2 linked regions of the Sus scrofa genome follow. The protein of the gene in region 1 interacts with the protein of each later gene in a biochemical or structural test. Links are inferred from orthologs where the notes say so. Each region holds a gene or a part of one and is shown in the gene's direction. Other genes may lie near its edges.

What was found.
Region 2: of the proteins of PRMT1 (region 1) and HNRNPA1, one has a biochemical effect on the other in vitro, tested with the Homo sapiens proteins (3 studies listed by BioGRID, with this or other methods). The link is inferred for Sus scrofa from reciprocal best matches to the Homo sapiens genes PRMT1 and HNRNPA1.

What each region holds. Positions count from the first base shown.
Region 1 is NC_010448.4:54,725,312-54,729,048, forward strand, and holds part of PRMT1 (protein arginine N-methyltransferase 1), read left to right. Parts: intron 1-827; coding exon 828-970; intron 971-1,630; coding exon 1,631-1,718; intron 1,719-1,808; coding exon 1,809-1,924; intron 1,925-2,781; coding exon 2,782-2,932; exon of another isoform or gene 2,933-3,529; coding exon 3,530-3,651; intron 3,652-3,737. UniProt on the Homo sapiens protein: Arginine methyltransferase that methylates (mono and asymmetric dimethylation) the guanidino nitrogens of arginyl residues present in proteins such as ESR1, histone H2, H3 and H4, FMR1, ILF3, HNRNPA1, HNRNPD, NFATC2IP, SUPT5H, TAF15, EWS, HABP4, SERBP1, RBM15, FOXO1, CHTOP, MAP3K5/ASK1, MICU1 and NPRL2.
Region 2 is NC_010447.5:19,483,732-19,487,976, forward strand, and holds the start of HNRNPA1 (heterogeneous nuclear ribonucleoprotein A1), read left to right. Parts: upstream 1-1,445; coding exon 1,446-1,460; intron 1,461-2,005; coding exon 2,006-2,122; intron 2,123-2,415; coding exon 2,416-2,562; intron 2,563-2,692; coding exon 2,693-2,903; intron 2,904-2,994; coding exon 2,995-3,087; intron 3,088-3,172; coding exon 3,173-3,265; intron 3,266-3,374; coding exon 3,375-3,449; intron 3,450-3,723; coding exon of another isoform or gene 3,724-3,882; intron 3,883-4,245. UniProt on the Homo sapiens protein: Involved in the packaging of pre-mRNA into hnRNP particles, transport of poly(A) mRNA from the nucleus to the cytoplasm and modulation of splice site selection.

The sequences.
Region 1 (3,737 bases):
CTCATACCTCTGGTGCAGCCAAATAAATAAATAAACAACATGACCAAACGATTATATACAGGCTGGATAAACAGCAAGGTCCTGCAGAGAGCCGTGTGTGATATCCTGTGAGAAACCATAAGGAGAGGGGACCTGGAAAAGAACAGGACTATGTATGTGTATAACTAAATCCCTTTGCTGTACCCCAGAAATTAATACGACACTATAAACCCACTATACTTCGGCAATGTTTTTAAAACTACAAAAACACGGAGTTCCCGTCGTGGCTCAGTGGTTAATGAATCTGACTAGGAACCATGAGGTTACAGGTTCCATCCCTGGCCTTGCTCAGTGGGTTAAGGGTCCAGCATTGCCTTGAGCTGTGGTGTAGGTCACAGACGCGGCTCGGATCCCACATTGCTGTGGCTGTGGTGTAGGCCGATGGCTACAGCTCCAATTCAACCCCTAGCCTGGGAACCTCCATGTGCTGCAGGAGTGGCCCAAGAAAGGGCAAAAAGACAAAACAAAAACCTGCAAAAACACGCGACCATGGCTATGAATGGCAAAACCTTCCATCACCTAATCCCTGATCCACACACAGTCTCTGCTGCCGCCCCCGAAAGAGCCCTCGTGCGGAACCAATTTTAGAACCAAGTGGCTGGGGTGTGGCTTCAGCTCGCAGAGCCCGATGACGGCTGCCCCCAGTCCAGCCCCCAGCCCCCTTCCTTGAGAAACCAAGGGCAGCCCCTGAGGGGGGACTCCAGGCCCTGTCCCCCGGGGCGGGGGACCCCCCCCCCCCCGCGCCGGGGCTCCTCGGGGCGGCGGCACGAGCGCTGTGTGGCCCGCAGTGGTGACCATCATCAAGGGAAAGGTGGAGGAGGTGGAGCTGCCGGTGGACAAGGTGGACATCGTCATCAGCGAGTGGATGGGCTACTGCCTCTTCTACGAGTCCATGCTCAACACCGTGCTCTACGCCCGCGACAAGTGGCTGGTGAGGCCCCCGGCCAGCCGGGCGGGTGGGAGCCCCGGGCCCGCAGCCCCGGGAGGCGGGGGGCGATGGCGCAGAGGAGCCGGGCCCTGGGGCGGCGGGGTGGTACCGTGCCAGCAGGAGGTTAGGGCCAGGAAGAGGGGTGGGGGGAGTGCCTGTGGTCCCAGGGGAGGTGCCAGGTGTGAAGGGAGGATAGGAAGGCGCTCCCTAGGATCTGAGGAGGAGAGTGCACTGGACAGGGGATGTCTGCCAGGGCACCGGCCCTGGGGTGGCAGTGCGCTGGCTGCGGCTTGAGCAACGGGGAAGCTGCAGCGCGGTGAGGCTCTGGGGGAGCAGTGAGGCTCTGGGGGAGCATTGGGAGGAGACGTTGGAGGAGTGGGAGGGGCCTCCACACCTGGGAGGCCCTGCTTTCCTCCTCCAGGGAGCCAGGGAAGCTTCTGGGGAGCCCTCAGGACCTCTGGAGTACGGGGTCTGACTTAGATGCTCTTGGGAGCCATCAGGCAGCCCTCCCGGGAGTTGGTGAATGGCTGGGAACCAGTGAGGGGCCGCCGCCTCGGGAGTCCAGGGCGGGGCAGGGGGCCTGGATAAAGGGATCAGGCAGGCAGGGTTCAGGGGCAGCGTCTCCGAGCCCCTGTCACCGGTCCCTTCCCGGCTCCTCCGCAGGCGCCCGACGGCCTCATCTTCCCAGACCGAGCCACGCTGTACGTGACGGCCATCGAAGACCGGCAGTACAAAGACTACAAGATCCACTGTGAGCTCGGGGCCCGCAGAGCTGGCGGGATGGGGCGGGCTCAGGCCCCGCACCCCCAGGGCTCACCCTTCCTCCTGGCCTCCTCCCCAGGGTGGGAGAACGTGTACGGCTTTGACATGTCCTGCATCAAAGACGTGGCCATCAAGGAGCCCCTGGTGGATGTGGTGGACCCCAAGCAGCTGGTTACCAACGCCTGCCTCATAAAGGTGCGGGGTCGGGGGGGGTGGCTGGTGGTGGCCGAGTGTCCTGAAGGGTCGGAACCTGGCCCGTGGATGGGGACATCAGGGCCCAGAGTGCTTGCTTGCCTGAGGCCTCAGGAGCCTGTTGTGTCCACTGCAGATGGCACTAGACACTTGGAGAAGCCACTTCATTTAAAAACCTTTGTGAGCCAGGCATGGCCCTTGGGTTCCAGAATGGGGTGGTGAGAGGGGCTAGCCCTGCCCCCCTGGGCACCCCCCCTCCCCCAGGCAGGCAGCAGAGACCCCAGGCAGGGCCACCAAATGCAGGAAGCCCAGGGCCACCAGCAAGTTTATACACACTTGGGTCCCTGATAAAGAATACTGGCAGCTATCCTTTTTTGAGGTCCCCCCACCCCAGCATCACATCTTGCAGGGATGCATGAGGCAGGCAGAACTGGGTGGAGGAGGAGGGAGTTTGCAGAGGGAAGCAGGGGTGGTGGCAGATGCCCTGACCAGGAGAGCCTCTGTGACCTGGTTCGGTGCCGAGTGTACTGGGGCGCAGTCAAGAGTTGTAACTAGGGCTTTGACGTGGATCTGGTTGCTGCTGTTTTTAAATTGTCACACTGGAATCAGGGGTCCGTGTGGGGGGAGTGGCAGGGAACCCTGCTAAGATGCCGCTGCCGGGGAGAGGGGATGGTGGCTGGGGCAGTGGAGCTGTGTCAGCAGACAGCTCTCCAGGGAGCAGCGTGGCTCCAGGAAGTCGGAGGGTCAGATCAGGGGGTTGGGGGAGAGGGGAGCAGGGGACCCAACAGGGCCCCCCAGGTCTTTCGGCAGGCCCCTGGGCTGGAGCTGCGGGACTGGGGCTCACGAGGCTCATCCCACAGGAGGTTGACATCTACACAGTCAAAGTGGAGGACCTGACCTTCACGTCCCCCTTCTGCCTGCAAGTGAAGCGGAACGACTACGTGCACGCGCTGGTGGCCTACTTCAACATCGAGTTCACCCGCTGCCACAAGAGGACCGGCTTCTCCACCAGTGAGGCGGGGCCCGGGCGCTGCGGGGTGGTGGGGCAGGTCCCACTGTGGCAAGGGAGGGAAGGATCTGACTGCAGCAGCTCGAGTCGCTGCAGAGGCGCGTGGTCAACCCCCAGCTTGGTGCAGTGGGTTAGGAGGATCCAGTGTGACAGCAACCGTGGCTCAGATTTAATCCCTGGCCCAGGAACGTCCATATGCTGTGGGTGTGGCCATTTAACAAATGAAAAAGGAGTTCCCATTGGGCTCAGCGGTTATGAACCCAGCTAGTGTCGTTGAGGAGGCAGGTTCGACCCCTGGCTCCCCTCCATGGGTTAAGGATCCCACATTGCTGCTGTGGCTGTGGTGTCTGCTGGCAGCTGTAGCCTGGGAGCTTCCATATCCACGGGTGCGGCCATTCAAAAAAAAAGGCAAAGAGAAGAAAAAGAGCGGCCAGGGGGACCCCGAGGCCCCAGATTACCTGCCCAGGAAACGGCCCCTCTCCCCAGGCTTGCCGAGGGTGAAGAGACTGTGGTCCCGGCTCCGTCCGCAGGCACAGGGGGTGGGGTGGGGGCTGGGGGCCGGGTCGGGGGGGTGCCCGGCTGACCCGCCTGCCCCCCAGGCCCCGAGTCCCCGTACACGCACTGGAAGCAGACGGTGTTTTACATGGAGGACTACCTGACGGTGAAGACGGGCGAGGAGATCTTTGGCACGATCGGCATGCGGCCCAACGCCAAGAACAACGTGAGGCTCGCGAGGAGGGGGAAGGGCTGGGGGGGCCCCCAGCACCCCTTACCCCAAGCCCAACGGCGGACTTGGCTGCCCTCTGC
Region 2 (4,245 bases), on another chromosome or scaffold:
AAAACCGAGGAATACAGGACCAAACTTAACAGCTTTCCTACCAGAGAAGTGTGGCACGGAGGCCCACAGGTTTTGTTAAAGTCATTGTGAATAAAATAGCCCCTACGCGCCATCACAGGCATTGAATCCCCTTCCTCGCATCCCCAAATCTAAGACCTCCCTCTTTTGGAGCGCTGATTGGACGAACAGCCTGAGCGCTTTCCAGAGGCTGCTCGCCTACTGGCTCCCGATTTGGTCCATCCACCTAACCGCCCAACTCCCGCATCCCCCATTGGAGTCAAATCGTGGCCTCTTGGAGGAGCCCAACCTACCGCGCGCTTCGTGCTCATTGGCTCAGTGAGATGCTGCTCAGGAGGAGAAAGCCCGCCTCCCACATACCGATGGCCCAAGGACCGATGAGTCGGCAGCTAAGGACAGCCCCAATTGGCCTATACACTCGCCAGTCAAACTCTTCCGCTGCAAAGCTCCACAGAACCTACGGGGATAAAACATCCCGCCCCCGTTCTTCCATTGGTTGGCCGATCTCACCGCTCCCCCTTCACGAGCCCCCACCCCGAGGTCCATTCATTTCACACAATAACGGGCCCAGTTGGAGTCAGTTCAAGACCTCGTATGGGTAGGCAAGATGGTCCGCCACTTACCGGGGGTCGAGACCGATCACTCACGCTAACGCCTCGCCTGTTCCTCTGTGGTGCGGCCGGACCACAAGCCACCGCCGCCGCCGCCTTCTGCGCAACGCCAACCGCCCGCCAAAACGGATCCTTCCCTGCGCCTGCGCGACCAATCCTGGGACCCGACCCTTTCCCCGCCCATTACGCCTGCGCAAAAGGGGGCACAACTCCCGCCACTACGCAGGCGCCTTAGGTTCGCCGCTGTCTCCTGCCCGCCATTTCACGTGTTGCAAGCTCCGGGCGGAACTTCTTAGCGCGCCTGCGTAAACTCGCCATTTTACTACACATGCGCTCAGCAGGCGATCTTGCCCCCGCCCCCGTTCCGCCAAATTGTCACATGCTAGCTACTTTTTTGATACATAGTATTAAAAATGCTTTGACACAGGCGTTGAATATTCCGGACATAGCTAATTAAAAAGTTATCTCAATACCCGAAATAATTCAAATATGAATCATTGGTTGACCAGCCAATCAGTCTAGTTAAGAATAATATTACTTAGGAACCAATGGACCGGGAGGGGTTGAGACTGCGTAGAACGCCCAAACGGATGACGTTACACAGCAACGCATACGAGAGACCAATAGTGGGGGAAAGCTATGTCAAATATCCAATCAGAGCTACTCAGGGGCGGAGTCTACCAATGCCGAACGCGAGGAGGCGGGATAAAAAAGCGAGGCCGAAGGTAGGCTGGCAGACTCGTTCGTTAGATTACTCCTTTCTGCCCCCGGACGCCGCCGAGTAAGCATCGTTGTAACCTCCTCCCCACTACCGTCATGTCTAAGTCAGAGGTGAGTGAGACTCTTTTTTCATCTGCGTTTTCTTCTTCGCCGCTTGCTGAGTTTGGTAGGGTGCAGTCTGGTTTGGCTGCTTGCACCAGCCTTTTCGGCAGTTCTTCGGTCGCTGCCGGGGCCTACCCCTCCCTGAGTTCAGGTCGCCATTTTGTCCTCGTCGCCATGAGGCTGTCGTCGTGCAATCCTTGGTTATCACGCTGCTCTCGTTCTTTTTTGCAATGCTCGTGGACACATTCGGTCTGTTTTTCATCCTTGTCCTAGTGGACGACTTTCTTAAAGAGTAGCTGTAGTCCAATTTTGGCGATGCACGCCCTCCCAGTCCTTTTGTTGCGCGTGCGTCGTAGGGAGAGTAAGGGGCGCATGCGCTCGCCGCTTCCCAGCCCCCAACATACCGCCTCCCCAGATGGGGAGAAGCACGTGGCTTACAGCGACCCGAGGGAACAATAAAAGCTTCGTACGTTGCTACCTGGTGTTGCTTCTTGTAGCGGGGAGCTTGTTTGCGTTATAGCCCTATTTAACGCTTTTTTTGCCCCTACTTCTAGTCTCCCAAAGAGCCCGAACAGCTGCGGAAGCTCTTCATCGGAGGTTTGAGCTTTGAAACAACCGATGAGAGTCTGAGGAGCCATTTTGAGCAATGGGGAACGCTCACAGACTGTGTGGTAAGACTTGGAAGAGACAAAAGGCCTTAGAGCTAGTTGTTTTTCTTGGCTTATCTCGCTGTCGTTGCTGTTTGAATGCTTATGAAGATTCCTATTGACTTTATAGCTTACTTGACAAAGGAAGGTGTGGCTTCATAGCTGAAAAGCTCCCAATTGTTAGGTTTAAGGGGTGGGGGCGGTGGTCATTGAAGAGCTTCGTTTAGAGGGTTGGTAGAAAGTTTTCCATTGCCTTAGTCAAGGTAGAAAAGGCTGTAACTTCTGGTGTCTTACCATGTGCTAAATAAACATTAAAGGTAATGAGGGACCCAAACACCAAGCGCTCCAGAGGTTTCGGGTTTGTCACGTATGCCACTGTGGAGGAGGTGGATGCAGCCATGAATGCAAGGCCGCACAAGGTGGATGGAAGAGTTGTGGAACCAAAGAGGGCCGTCTCAAGAGAAGTAAGTGATGTTTTTCTTGTGTTTCATCGACTGGAAATGTTCGATTAGCAGGATTCACTCACATTAAGGGGATGTAACAGACTTAGTATTAACATGGTCTTAGGATTGTTACTATTTTCTCCCCCTTTAGGATTCTCAAAGACCTGGTGCCCACTTAACTGTGAAAAAGATTTTTGTTGGTGGCATTAAAGAAGACACTGAAGAACATCACCTAAGAGATTATTTTGAACAGTATGGGAAAATCGAAGTGATTGAAATCATGACGGACAGGGGCAGTGGCAAAAAGAGAGGTTTTGCTTTTGTAACTTTTGATGACCATGACTCCGTAGACAAGATTGTCAGTAAGTAGCAGGTGGTTGGCATTCGCTAAGAGTTCTGAAATCCATTTGTGTCCTAAACTCTGAGATGGTGTCTTACTTTCAAATTTTTCAGTTCAGAAATACCACACTGTGAATGGCCACAACTGTGAAGTGAGGAAAGCCCTATCCAAGCAAGAGATGGCTAGTGCTTCATCCAGCCAAAGAGGTGAGTTTGTTGCTTAATTAAACCTTAAGCATCATTTTGAATGATTTTAACCGGTACAATTTAACGTTAACATTTTTTTCTTCAGGTCGAAGTGGTTCTGGAAACTTTGGTGGTGGTCGTGGAGGTGGTTTTGGTGGAAATGACAACTTTGGTCGTGGGGGAAACTTTAGTGGTCGAGGTATGTATGGTTTTTTATTATTTTAACGCTTCTTAGAATTTAGGCTTAGAAGGGTGTGATTTGTATGCGATCCACATACTTCAAACCTGGCTTTTAAATTCTGTTCCAGGTGGCTTTGGTGGCAGTCGTGGTGGTGGTGGATATGGTGGCAGTGGGGATGGCTATAATGGATTTGGTAATGACGGTAAGTTTTTTTGTTTTTACTGTTAAAATTTTGTGTGTGCGTGTGTGGGTTTTTTTAGTTCGTTTTGTTGTTGGATTTTTTTGTTTTTTAAGAAACTACAGGTAAAAAGTTTGACTACTTTTAGAATAGGCTAGTAGATACTAAAACTTTAGTGCATGATAAGTTCAAGTTTGACTCTTACAGCATGTTGTGAGCCGGCCTTTAGCCATCATGCTTGCACAGAATTTGAATGTTGAATACTTGTGTCTTATTGAGAAGAATTGTATTCTTGTAGGTGGTTATGGAGGAGGCGGCCCTGGTTACTCTGGAGGAAGCAGAGGCTATGGAAGTGGTGGACAGGGTTATGGAAACCAGGGCAGTGGCTATGGCGGGAGTGGCAGCTATGACAGCTATAACAACGGAGGAGGCGGAGGCGGCTTTGGCGGTGGTAGTGGTAGGTATCCAGTGATCCAAGTACTTGGTGCAAATAGCTAGCTTAGCCATATGGGAACTTGATGCTCTCTAGGCATAATGTGTTTTACTGCATGGTACTTTCTTTTAATGGGCTTGCAATGCTACCTCCTCCTAGCTTTAAGCTGGGGCCGCCTCACTCCCAAATAGATTAAGGGGGATAGTGGTGCCTACAGTTAATCGGGATTAGGTTAGCTTTTATTTAGGCACTTAGTTGATGTATCCAGCATGTGTTTGCGGTGCCCCTGGATGGGTAACAACAGCCTTCGAGGCTAGAGACTATACTACTTGCTCTACCATGGTGAGTCAGGGGTAAATTTCTAGCTACTGGATTATTCAACTGAAT